Mytilus edulis: one gene and its partner. The protein of the gene in region 1 purifies or fractionates together with the protein of each later gene. This does not show direct contact. Links are inferred from orthologs where the notes say so. Each region holds a gene or a part of one and is shown on either strand. Other genes may lie near its edges. The genes, in order: nuclear factor NF-kappa-B p105 subunit-like and E3 ubiquitin-protein ligase RNF123-like.

Region 1 (7,157 bases):
TGCATTTTCTCATGAACCATTCAACCAAAGCTTTTGAAATTTTTATATGTTGTTACTGATGACAAAATAGAGGTCAAGTTCAATTATGACGATTTTGACTTTTACCGTTCAGGAGTTATGGTTCTTGAAAGATTGAAAAATGGTGTTTCCAGTCGTGTCCGTGCATTTTCTCATGAACCATTCAACCAAAACTTTTGAAATTTTCATATGTTGTTACTGATGACAAAATAGAGGTCAAGTACAATAATGACGATTTTGACTTTTACCGTTCAGGAGTTATGGTTCTTGAAAGATCGTAAAATGGCGTTTCCATTCACGTTGTTACATTTACTCATAAACCATTCAATCTAAGCTTTTCAAATTTTAACATGTTGATACTGATGACAAAATGGAGGTCAAATTTGATATTGATGATTTTCACTTTCATCATTCATCAGTAATGGTTCTTGTGATATTGCCAGGACACAAATAAATGTTAATAAATCCGGTTTGCTGTCGTTGTGACAGCCTCTTGTATTTTAATATTTTAATGAGTACTTACATGTATTGTTGCAAACTCCATTAGAAATTTAAATTGAGATTATTTTTGGAGTAAGGGGAAGGGGAGGTGAAAACAAATTGGAAAAAGGGGGGGGGGGTAAATAAGAATTTGTGGGGGGTTACACTTTTTCTCTCATTTCAGATTTTAGAAATAATAAGAAAATTTCTTCAAATTATTTTTTTAGGGCATTATTCAACAGCATACTCAATTGCTCAAAAGCAAAATTGAACATTGATTCTGGCACACTGACCTCATGACCAAACACATGTTGCCACATTCATCAAATTAAGAATCAATTTTTACATGTAGACAATAGTTAATTACCTGTACCTTAGAAGTCTTATCTACCTTAATTGATTCTTACAACATTATAAACCTCAGGGCAATCATCAGGTGTCTTGAATATAATTTAATTTCTGACAAGAAATATTACACGCGATATCACCCGATATGGCAATGTTTATAGTAACATTGCCAAAACAGCACAAGGGCATTTGAGGGGGGGGGGGGGGGGGGCAGAAGTCTAAGGGCACAAAGGCTGTAGACTGTAGCATCTTCTATTTGGGTTAACACAAACACTGATTATTTTTACTGCATGTGATTTCATTTACTTTTTCAGTTCTAACTTATGTGTGGGTAACTGTAACATGTGTACTAACAGTTATCTTTACCATGAATTTACATGTTTAAATGTTCAACAAATCACTATTTATGCATAGGCTTTTATAATGCTTGTTTACAGAATTAGTTTTAAAATCTTGAAAACCATGCACTTTATTACATGATTGGTTGCCATGACTTACATGTACATGTATATAGATTTCCCGTTGAAATAATACCCATAATTTTACATGTGAAATAAATGTGGTTATCAAAACAAGTTGTGAATTCTTAGAAAAAAAATATAGTTACTTACATTTTTATATGCCTGTTTACAGGACGTATTATGGTACCATTTGTTGTCTGTCCGTCCGTCCACTATCAACATGTTGGACATTAACTCCAAAAGACTTTAATAAATTTGCATAAAACTTTGCTTACTTTGGTGAATTGTTTATATCTATTGACACAAAATGTGTTGACATTTCTTACAATGAATTGAAATACATTGTTATGCAAGTCTGAGCAAAGCCTCTAAAGAGATATAGAGAAACTGTAATAACACCCTTATGTTATTGCAGGAATATATTTTCTGTTATAACATAGGTGTACTTTGCATGATTGGTAAACTATGAGCTGTTGCAAAGATTAGTATACTTACGTGAGCTCAATTTCTTTTTTTTTTTTATAAATGTTAGAATTATGTTTCCAAGTTATGAGGTTTTATTCATTAAAAAAGGGGGAAATTTCAAGTTTCTGATAATAACTGAAGAATGATTTCACCAACTTGCAAAAAATTTTGTCAAGTTGTTAATATCATAACATGAGCTCCCTTTTGATTTTTTTGATTTTAGATTTTTTAAGTTACAGGGTTTTGTACATGTTGTTTGCAAAAAAGATGAATTTTCCAGTTATCAGACAATTAGTCAAAAATACTTTAGCAGTTCTCATGAAACTTTTGTGAATTGTTTAAATATCTATTGATGTAAGCCCCCTTAAGAATTTTATAAATTTTAGATTTTACATTTCTGAGTAATGGGGTTTTATTCATAAAAAAGGGGGAATTTTTCAGTTTTCGGATGATAATAACTTACAAATACTTTCAGCAATTCTCATGAACCTTTGGTGAATTGTTTATCTCTATTAAAGTAAGCTCCCTTGTGATTTTCACAAATTTCTAATTTGGCATTGAGAAGTAATTGAACTATATTCTTTGAAAATTTGACAGGCCCTCACGACGCAGCTGCTTATTTAAATTTGTCATTTCATTTTATTTTTTTTTTAATGTTAAATGACCCATCAATGTACATTGGTGATAATATCTCAATTTAATTCCTTGTGTCAAAATGTATTTAGATGCACAATATTTTAAACAGGAGACAAAATATCACACCATTCAAAATGTTTAAATTATGCTTGGATATCAGAAAAAGCTATTTTTTTGGTAACACTAAATGAGGATTACACATGAAGACAAAATTTCAGTCCTACATCAGATTAAGGTATTTTACCGTGAAATTGTGATCATATATATACTTTAAACCCAGTACACCTGTTCATTATGATATAAATTTAAAAAACAATTGTAAGCCAAAATAAAAAGGGTAATACCCGGGTTTGCTGTTCATTGAACATGAAAATGTGATAGTGCTAGTTTGGAATTGTGTCCTATTAAGGTTTATTCTTGTTTATTTTGTGTTTTACTTTTACAGCATTCAGTAACCTGAAAAAGGCAAAAGGGAAATTTGTGAGCATGTAAAATTGTTAAAACGCACCTTTTTTTTTGTGCCTGTACCAAGTTTGACTATAAAGAATATATATATATACAAGTATGCTTCTGGAGAATTTTGAGGAGTGCCTCTAGCAGCTTCATTTCAATCATGTGTTTTTAATATGCATTTTGCATTTTAAAAAAAATGCATTTTTAATCTAAACACTAAAACATGCATACCAAAGCTTTTTTTTAAATGTTCTCCTTGTTGGTTTGTTTAAGGTGGTACCCAACACTTTAGCTAAAATTAATTTGGGTCATTTAATTTTCTCAAAATTTTGACAAAGTATTTACTTTGACCCTTTTACAAAAATATAAAAATTTCAAAAAATTTGAACAAACCGTTTTGTCAGAAAAATTACACTGGTTATATAGCAGTTTGACAAACACTTATTTTGATCATTGAGAAGCTTAATATTCCCTTAACAACACAACGTAATTAAAACGTTTAGCTGATTTTACAGAGTTATCTCCCTGTAGTGTTAGGTACCACCTTAAGCCCCATTCCCAAATGTTTCTGTCCTTTAGCTAACTTTGATTTACTTCAACCAAATGATATTAAAAGAATACACAACACATATTTGCATAGACACAGATCAAGTTCAAATTTGGGTGGCGTCACTTCTACAGTTCTCAAGTTAGTTACCTTTATAATGTATTATGCATGTTGGGGCATCATCTGTGTCTTGTGGACACATTCTCAATTTATTTAACTTTTATTTTTCTCTACTGACAATGACTGAGTTTTTGATAGATGAATAAGTTAAACTATTGTTAATTATAAGAAACTAATTTATTCCCAAAGTTTAAAAGACACAAAAAAGAGGACGAAGACTCATTTTACATGTAAAAAACAGCCTTCAAAGGAAGAACAAACATTTTGCAATACCTTATTGACGAAACACTGAAATAAGATAATTAATGTACTTTAAATACCATATATACAAAAATTGGAAAGGCCCAAAAAGTTATATTTAGGACTATAAGCTTAAAATAGATTGAATGTAGGAAGGAAGATGATTAGGAAGTTGATAGGTAAAGTTACGCAATAATAATCATGCAGATTGAAGAAAGGCATAAGTCGCCATTAGGTAAGAGGGAGGGGAGGGTTAGGCACCTGCAAACTTTTGTTTTACCCTCCCACATTCTTTATGTCATGTATGTGCCTGTCCAAAGTTAGGAGCCTTCATTTGTGGCTGTCTGTTATACTTGTTTTTCTATGATTGTTTCGTACAAAAATTCAAGCCGTTAGTTTTCTCATATAAATTGTTTTATATTTGTCATTTCTGCATCTTTTATAGCTTGCTATGCGGCATTGTTATGCTTATTGTTGAAATCCACATGGTTACCTATAGTCATGATAGTTGTTAATGTGTACTTGTTGTCTTCTACGTCTTTTGGTCTCTGATGAAGAGTTGTCTCATTTGTAATTATAACATTTCTTCTTATCTTTACAGAACAAAAAAGGGTTATAATTTCATAGAATTGCATTCAAGTTACTGTAATAACAGATTACGTAAACTACTCATTGATGCCTTTTAAAACACTATATTGGTAGGATCTGTGATATATAAAAGCTCTGCTATAACATGTATATTTCTTTTGTGCTGTGAGACGATTTGATTTTTGTTAAAAGTTAAATTGACATAAAATAAACGTTATAGTAACCTATAAGATAGATAACTTAACAAATGATAAGAAGATTCCATTTAAAAGGACATTGTGACTTGTGTGTGTTTTTCTGGAAAAGATATAGTGAGCTGATTGTATGACATGAAGTATACACTCTATTGTATAATTTTAGTTCCTTATGTGGTTAAAAGGTGAATAAAGATTTTTTTTGTTGATATAAAGTCAATAACAGGTTCTGTCATGTATCTTATCCCGATAGGTAGCTATAGACAATCATATCAAATACAAAGTCACATCACTTTTTGAATAAATTATATAATTTGAAAGGTAAAATGCACTGTTCAATGCAGTTAAATTAAAATTAATCCAAACATGTTTTGTAAGTAGTCTTTTGTTTAAACTAGATCAAAACTATGGAAATGAGGAAAATCTCTACTAGAACAGGGAACTGTTTTATTAAACTGGTACTCAGTCTTCAGTTTTGAAATTAGTTTCAAGTTTTAACAGCCTGGAATATATAAATTCAATTGAAAGCTTTTATTTAAACTCAGTCTTGATTACGTCAGTCTTAAAATGTAGTTCAAGTAGGAGCTAGAGCTAGGCTTCTGGTTATTCTCTAGCATTTTGTCCAGGGTTCTAAAAGGAAATTGATATAAGACCAAAAATAATTTCAATTTTACCTGTTGTGTGAACCTGAAGATATGAACACTGTAGTTGGTTCTTGTTGAGATTGAAAATAAAATATAGAGAAAATTTCAGTAGTATTATACATGTTATATAATTAAACAAGCCATAATTTAAAAGAAAAGGAAAAAAGAATATATTGTAGGAGAACCAGTTAACAAAATTTTACTACAGAAATTATCACTAGAGAAAGGGCGTGCAAATGTATTTGGTGTCCATAAAAAGAAGAAAAAAAATTACTGCAGTTTTACAAGTGCCTACATCAAATACAATGTGTTTCATTATTTTTGATAGAATTGAATACTGGTATCAGCCTTTCAAAAACAATAACTTAATCACATTGTCATCTTTGTTTAAAGATTCTGATGTTCAATTGTTTTTTGGGGTGCAAATATCTTTTTCAATAAGGGTATGTGACCTGTCTTGTTAATCCAACCTTTTCATGTCCTGCTGTAGACTTTGCATTTTTTACCTCAAAGTCCTCTTCTCTGATAAGGTCTGTTTTTTTGGTCCTGAGTTAGTCATGGTAATGGTATTCTGAGACTGCTCTGATGTCTGACTACCTTTTCGGGACTCTCTCGGGCCATTGTCCCACGGCCCCAGCAAGTCCTATAAAGAGGCTGTAAGACTTCAGAGCAATCTCTGACTAGTTCCATGAATCATTGAATGTCCTTTACATGTATATTAGGCTTTTCTGTATAGTATATGTATATATATATATTCAAAAAACGTTTCTTTTCAAGCGGTGTACAGAATGATATATTAAAAATTAAATACACAAAAAGAGTTTTAAAAGCAGCATTGTCTAGCGCTTTCATCAATCTTGGGACTTTTCAAGACTATGAACGTTGTTATGGGGAACACATTAGTATTATGACGTAACGTCATTGTTCATAACATATAAAGTAGTATGACACGATGTTATTGTTCATGTAACTACTAAGCATTAAGCTTGTGTTCCCCATAGCGACATTCATAGTCTTGAAAAGTCCCAAGATTGATGAAAGCGCTAGACAATGCTGCTTTTAAAACTCTTTCGTGTATTTAATTTTTAATGTATATATATTTATATTGAAGTTTCTTTGATATTCCATTGTATAAAATATGATGAGATATTGATAACAGAAAGATATGGTCCTTAAATGTTACTTTTGTTGAATCAAAATTTTTAACTTCCTCTTTATCTGAAATATCGTAGGCGTGATTATTAAAGAAGTAGCCCAGCATAGGTTAGTGGAATGTATCGTTTAAGTATTTAGGAACAGGAAATAAAAAAAGATATCCTCAATAAATGTATGAGATGTAAACTGAACTAAAAGCAATACATTGAATTATCTTTGAGATTTATATTGTACAAATATGGTTGCCGTTTATTTTTTCCTTTTGACTGCTGTTTCTGAATAAATAGCAAATAAAAGAATAAAATGTTTATGGCCAGCAACTGTGTCAGAAACTTTAAAGGTAAATAGATTTATACCAGCAATCTCATGTTAGACATCTTGACATTATTTACTCCTGTTTATTTTTGTCTATAGAAAGTAAATGAAGGAAATTAATTTTCAACATTGCTGCAGGCATAAAAACAGATACAAATGTATTTAGAGTGAACATGGTGTATTTTATTGTGTTTACATGTTTATTTGTATAATTTTTGTGTAAAAAGTAAGAAAAATTGTTCGTCTTACTCAGTTTTTAAACAGGTAAATTCTTTAAAAATTATTAATCTGTTAAATTATTTTACTTGTTAAAATTATTTAATATATGTTGAACATCATGTTTTTTTAACATCCTGAAGATTTTTTTGGGTTATTAATCATTACACATGTAAATTTAAATCCATAACTTATTGTTTTGTATCATCAAATATCCTGTTTTTGTTTTCTCCTTTTTTGGCAATAAATATTTTTATTTTATCACCATAGATTTACC
Region 2 (7,302 bases), on another chromosome or scaffold:
TACCCTATGTATTATTTTTAGCCATGTTGGCCATCTTGGCAGGGTCATCGGACACATTTTTTAAACTAGATACTCTAATGATGATTGTGGACAAGTTTGGATAAATTTGTCTTAGTAGTTTCAGAGGAGAAGATTTTTTTAGAAGATAACAAAAATTGTAAAAAAATTGTAAAAAAATTGACTATAAAGGGCAATAACTCATTTTGGTCATGTTGACTTATTTGTAGATCTAAATTTGCTGAACATCATTGCTGTTAAAAGTTTATCTGTATCTATAATAATATTCAAGATAATAAACAAAAACGACAAAATTTTCTTAAAATTACCAATTTAGGGGCAGCACAACAGGTTCTCTGATTCATCTGAAAATTTCAGGGCAGATAGATCTTGACCTGATAAACAATTTTACCCCCGTGTCAGATTTGCTCTAAATGCTCTGGTTTCAGAGATATAAGCCAAAATCTTCATTTTACCCTATGTTCTATTTTTAGCTATGACGGCCATCTTGGTTGGTTAGCCAGGTCACTGGACACATTTTTTTATGAGAAAAGCTCACTTAGCCCTTCCGGCCAGGTGAGCTTAAAATGCAAACTTTATCTATAGAACTAAAATATCATATAATTCAGAATACATTGCATAAATATCCTTTATAATTTAACTAACACAAAATTTATACAGAGTTATTTTATTTGAGTTCTTATTCTACCTTCTGAACCAGTATCCTGATCTTGTTCTGATCTGACATATATCCCTCCCTTGTATGCTGCTTCAGCCATTTTCACCTGTAAATAAAAGGTATCAAAATCAGACAACTATATTATCATGCACAATTCAATATGTGAATAAGCTGCTTTACTGATCGTGCTTAAATTTTATAGTGAAAGGCTTAAGAAAGATTCAAACAGCTAACACACAAGCTTAACATTATCATCTATCCCTATGTGTGTCAATGTCAGATGCACTTTGACATGTACAATTGTAAACCTTGAATACTTTAATTCATACACTAAACAGTGGCAGGTTGAGATCAACAAAATCGTTTATAACATTTATTGCTACTGAGTCTGATTATCTAGAGCTGCGATTTATTCACAGCTTAATTTGACTTCTCAAACCCCAGCTTCAACATAAAGTTACATGCATGATTTATGAAAACTTAATCATGATGAGTGTATACATAGTATTTAAATCTGTGTAATGTTCATTACTGTAACTACATTTACATGCTTATCAGCTGTTTTCTGCTCTTTGGTCAGGTTGTTGTCTCTTTGACCTCTATACCTCATTTCCATTCCCATTTAAAAAAATTGTCTTTTTAATTTTATACAATATTGCAGGTTTAAGATGGATTGACATGTAAAAAATATGCTGATAGGGAAAGAAATGCATGACCATCTAAAATCAGTCTTTAAAGAAATGGTACAGAAAGAGCAAGGACTTTATCCAACAACAATTTAACTATTTTTTCAATAATATAAAGAAATAATTTTTTTAAAACTGAATGACAAAAAATTTGTCTAAAAAATCCTTCTTTCAATTATCATGAATAAATTGGAATGTACATGAAAGTGGTTTATAGTTGAGAGAAAAATGGGCAAACAAGTAAAGATTAGAAGAAAAAAAGAGACAGAAAAATGTAGAAAACAGTTTAAAGGGGTGATGAACAGTAAAGAATAGAAAACCCTGGGCAAGAAAATAAGAATAGAGCAAATTGGTTAAAAAATATATAAAAGATATAGATAGACAGACCGTGCAACTGCAAGGGCTGTATAGCCAATCAAGGTCATTAAAAACTTCCTCGTTCTCTTTTTCTCAGAACCACTGGCCACTACTACCCATACTGGCATTTAATATATATAGAGAGACAATTATTCAATTTGAATTTCATGGTTGCCCCGAGACATATATCAACACCTCACAGTCATGTCACACACTTAAACTAACTATAGTTGACCTATGGCTTATAGTACATGTATCTGAATGTTGACCAATAAACCATGATATGACATGAAAATGAGGTCAAGCCATGTTCAAATGAACCCAGTCAAACTGATATTGTACATGTCATGTACACCTTTCAATATAAAAAAGAAGCTGTGGTATGATTGGTAATGTGACAAATCCCCACAAGAGACCAAATGACAAAGAAATTAACAACTATAGTTCACGGTACGGCCATTAACAATGAGCAAATCCCATTACACATAGTCATGCAGCTATAACATTTTATTTAAACAAGAAAACTACTGGCCTAATTTATGTACTAAATAACGAACAAAATTCAAACTTTAGTGTAGACCTGTTGCAATTAGTATCCAAGATATATAGTCTCAAACACAAACACTTAGTTAAAATTAATCTCTGGTCAATGACATGTTGAATAGACATTAGTCTATTGACATTTTTATTTTTAATTGCTTTGATGTTGATCTTTTTTGCACCAATTGTTTTAAAGAATGGTTGTGATCATTGTATGTATAATGAATATTATTATTTATTTTAGCTTTGGGCACTATGAGCATGATGAGAAATTAAATACTATCCTTTATATGAAGACTGTATATTGACTATTGTCCCTTAATTTTCTTTTCACCGGATTGTGGTGTTTTTGATTATATGTCATATGATATCTTTGGACAGATTGGGGACAACCCGCCAAATGGGGTCGTTCATTTGAGTTACCATTTGGTAGTGCTAAAAAACTAAATTTTCGTAACTGAGAATTTTATTTAAAATGGCACATACTCATCGAAAATCTCGATTTACTGAGAAGTTACAAGCCTACGAAAACTTGGAAAACCTGATCCCTCCTTATTTTGTTTTGCAGTCACCCTATTTTTGTTTTGTTTTGCAGGCACACTTAACATGCAAAATATCAAATGTTGGCCTAATTTAATCAAAATACATCACGTCGTCTGCTAAACTGTAACACTAACAGTAATTTTGTTTGGACTTTAAATATATCACAACTTTACGACGCAAATTTACTAAATAATGGAAAACTATTTGTCAACATACAACTATAAGATGTGGCTTGATAAATATCAAGTTGTCATAAGTCTATTCATTTTAAAATATTCTTGCAGAGATCACCCTATTTTTGTTTTGTTTTGGTACACTTGACCAGTGATTTGAACCAGGAAGTGCCTAACAACTCAAATTTATTTAACCGGAAATGGTTACGTCTGAAGTACTATTTTCAAATCCATTTCAGCATAAATATTCGACTTGCAAAGAACAAACCATTTTAAGGATCAGAATAAAATTGAACTAAGGATGTTAATCTATCTATTGCAAAGACAAAAAATAAGAAAATATCAAATATTATAATGCTTTTGAGATTACTACGCGTGGGAGGCCATTTTCGCCGGTGTGTGTATTTATCAGCAGATTGAAACCATTCTCACGAAGAATATTCACAATGGATGAAGAATATGATGTTATTGTTCTTGGAACAGGACTAAAGGTATAAGCGTTTGCTAAGCAAATAGATAAGACGTGTAAAAAGACATAAATTCTTGTAATAAATGTCGTTATCAGAAAACAGTCTATCATCAGTCTTGTGTGATGTCATCACTGAAATTATCATGTGTTTTGGTTACAATACACAAAATGAAATGTACAATTTGCTAGATATATTATATTGATCAATCTAATTGCGAAAATGTTCAGAATCCGTTTAATAATAAACTAGCGCTAATAAAGCTGCGGAGTCTGATCTGCCGACATACATTTGGTGTATTGATTTTTGTAAGCTTCAGTAATTAGAAGCCCTTTTATACTCTGATTTATGTATAAAATGTTATAGGCCTGTTAAATATGTCAGTTAAAGCTTGATATAAATAAATTTCGAATGTCTCTTAACATTATTTTTTTTTAATTAAAAGCCACACCCCCTTACTCTATATTGTCACAAATCAAATAATCAATACATTCCATGTATAAGAGTCAGCATCTTTATGGTTTACTTTTATAAGGAGTTATTCAATAAACAGCTGACACTTCTGATTTAAGTTGACACAGACTTAAATCTGGTTAAGATCAAGTGGACATTGTCATGATTGTCATAAAAATAAAACAAGTTATCAATAACAAAAAGTAAAAACACAAAAATACTGAACTCCGAGGAAAATTCAAAAAGGAAAATCAAAAATCAAAAGGCAAAATCAAAAGTCCAAACACATCAAACGAATGGATAACAACTGTCATATTCCTGACTTGGTACAGGCATTTTCTAATGTAGAAAATGGTGGATTGAACCTGGTTTTATAGCTAGCTAAACCTCTCACTTGTATGACAGTCGCAATTTTATGTCCAAATTAACATAAAATAACATGAATTTAATAGACAATATTAATTTGAACTAGTTCATTTGCATTAAATGGTTATTGCATACAGTATTGAGACAATTAACTGACAAAAAAATATTAGAGTGACATTGGTATTTAGTACTATTTACAGAGGAAAAAGACCACATAGCTCGCTGCTGTGTATTGACAGTTAACCTACATGTAGTAATGTGAACATTGTAAATTTATGAGAGTCTATGATTGTTACAGCTTAAATTTTACATTTTATCAAACTTCCACTTGTATGATAGTTTTTTCAGTAAAAATATATTACATTGTTACTGATCATGCTGATTGTACCAAACCATACTAATTCTTAATAAGCAGTACAACTGTAGCTTCTGTAACCGTAACAATTTTTTTGTCATTTAAAAAATAATCTTTCAAATGAAGTATCTTATCTGGTTATCTACAATTTATGCTTGTACAACCATACCTGTCAACTGACCCATATTCTGCAGGTGTGACCCAAGATTTTCACAACACCCGCCGGGTCATTGAAATAACCCGGGAATTCCGAAAATGACCCGATTTCACCCGTATTTCTTAGCCTTGAGATTGATTTCATTAGTAATATTCCTTTGAAATACTGGCAAATTCGTAATTCTTCCATGAACAGGAAGTTGATCTAGCTATGTAAACTGTCAAATTAAGTGACCCATTAAGTGCATGGCTTCACTTGACAGCTTTGATGTCAAACACACTGTTAATTAACACCAATTACCTTAGCTTTAGGTCGTAAAATAAATTGCACCATTGGTTTACAAACTGAACTAGAGTTACTTCCCCTTATTTGTCACCATTCAAAATTATTCCTTATATTTACGTTTTATGGGTGAAAAAGATTAAATCATAAAAATATAAAATTCAAATACATATTGAAAAATAACTTTTCATTATTTTTATACCTTTATACAATTTTTTAAAAAAAGTTGAAAATTATTTTTTACATTTATACTTCCTTTAACTGTACTACTATATTTTATCATAGTCTAATTTCCTTGGTAAATGAAAAAGTAATATGGATCAAGGCTACATAGTCAATAGTCTCAAACATTTAAGATTTGCATTAAATTCTAGTGTTTGATGGTTGTAGTATTTTTTCTCATAAAGTAAATAAGACTGAGTTACACAAATTTATAAAAATCTTTAAATGTGCAATGAAATAATATTTAATAAGATTTAAAATGACTTAACAAAGTGAACATGCATTGATGTTTTGGTATCTGATATACATTATAAGAAAATGTACCATAAATACTGAAATTCAGCTCGAAAAAGTTCGTACGCGTTATGACCTGAGATTTGATTCTTCAATGCAGGTCATGACCTGCATTTTCATCGTCACAGGTTGACAGGTATGTACAACTGCTTAAATATTTTACTGTTGGTTGCCAAGTGGTATGGTCAGATCATGTTTTTGTACGTCATATGAATTCTTACTTCTACTATGCATGCTTTTTCAATGGAAATTGTGATGTCACAATGCATTCTTAATAGCACAGAAACCCATGAGACGAGGATACATGTATAGTCTCAAACATCTATTCTGTGTCGGTATATGTAACAGACAAATCATGCTCCATAATATCAAATAAAATATTATATAGGATAAAGCACATAATAAATATGACTTGGTGTAACCCAAATATACAGCATTCATGTACATGACAAATGATAAAAATAAAACATAAAGCATAACAATTGAAAATTAATAATGTTGGAAGAAACTATTTTTTGTTTGTTTGCCAGATTTTACCATCTTACCAGTTATACATGAATTTAACTTCTTTTTTTTTTAGGAATGTATCATAAGTGGTATGATGTCAGTTATGGGAAAGAAAGTTCTTCACATTGATAGGAATTCTTATTATGGAGGTGAAAGTGCATCAATCACACCACTGGAAGATGTAAGTATTCATGTGGGAACCGTTTACTCAATATGATATCTGACCAGTGGTCTCATTAGCCCAATTAAGAATGGTGTTATGCTTTTGATGTCTGTAGCCTCACATTTTTGTCCTTTTAGTCTAATTTAAAAATAACAATCATTGTGAGTTGTTTTTTTTGCTGTAAAGTGCAGTAGAGATTACTTAAAACATGGTTTAATGAATTAACATACATGTATTTATTAAGTTGAATATTTTTGTATTTGGATTAAATTTTTATACGACCGCAAAATTTGAAAAAAATTTCGTCGTATATTGCTATCACGTTGGCGTCGTCGTCGTCCGAATACTTTTAGTTTTCGCACTCTAACTTTAGTAAAAGTGAATGGAAATCTATGAAATTTTAACACAAGGTTTATGACCACAAAAGGAAGGTTGGTATTGATTTTGGTAGTTTTGGTCCCAACATTTTAGGAATTAGGGGCCAAAAAGGGCCCAAATAAGCATTTTCTTGGTTTTCGCACTATAACTTTAGTTTAAGTTAATAGAAATCTATGAAATTTTGACACAAGGTTTATGACCACAAAAGAACGGTTGGGATTGATTTTGGGAGTTTTGGTTTCAACAGTTTAGGAATTAGGGGCCAAAAAAGGGCCCAAATAAGCATTATTCTTGGTTTTCGCACAATAACTTTAGTTTAAGTAAATAGAAATCAATGAAATTTAAACACAATGTTAATGACAACAAAAGGAAGGTTGGTATTGATTTTGGGAGTTTAGGTCCCAACAGTTTAGGAATTAGGGGCCAAAAAGGGACCCAAATAAGCATTTTTCTTGGTTTTCGCACCATAACGTTAGAATAAGTAAATAGAAATCTATGAAATTTAAACACAAGGTTTATGACCATAAAAGGAAGGTATTGATTTTGGGAGTTTTGGTCCCAACAGAATAAGGGGCCCAAAGGGTCCAAAATTAAACTTTGTTTGATTTCATCAAAATTGAATAATTGGGGTTCTTTGATATGCCGAATCTAACTGTCATGACTGTGTATGTAGATTCTTAACT

The links.
Region 2: the proteins of nuclear factor NF-kappa-B p105 subunit-like (region 1) and E3 ubiquitin-protein ligase RNF123-like purify together in Homo sapiens (affinity purification with western blotting; 4 studies listed by BioGRID). This does not show direct contact. The link is inferred for Mytilus edulis from reciprocal best matches to the Homo sapiens genes NFKB1 and RNF123.

The regions. Positions count from the first base shown.
Region 1 is NC_092352.1:47,167,380-47,174,536, reverse strand, and holds the start of nuclear factor NF-kappa-B p105 subunit-like, read left to right. Parts: upstream 1-3,882; 5' UTR 3,883-3,928; coding exon of another isoform or gene 3,929-3,947; 5' UTR 3,948-3,969; coding exon 3,970-4,003; intron 4,004-7,157.
Region 2 is NC_092344.1:2,885,311-2,892,612, forward strand, and holds the start of E3 ubiquitin-protein ligase RNF123-like, read right to left. Parts: upstream 3,185-7,302; 5' UTR 3,019-3,184; exon of another isoform or gene 2,968-3,018; intron 813-2,967; exon of another isoform or gene 783-812; 5' UTR 777-782; coding exon 707-776; intron 1-706. Other genes in the region: rab GDP dissociation inhibitor beta-like, read left to right, coding at 3,422-3,466, 6,152-6,259. UniProt on the Homo sapiens protein: Catalytic subunit of the KPC complex that acts as E3 ubiquitin-protein ligase. Promotes the ubiquitination and proteasome-mediated degradation of CDKN1B which is the cyclin-dependent kinase inhibitor at the G0-G1 transition of the cell cycle.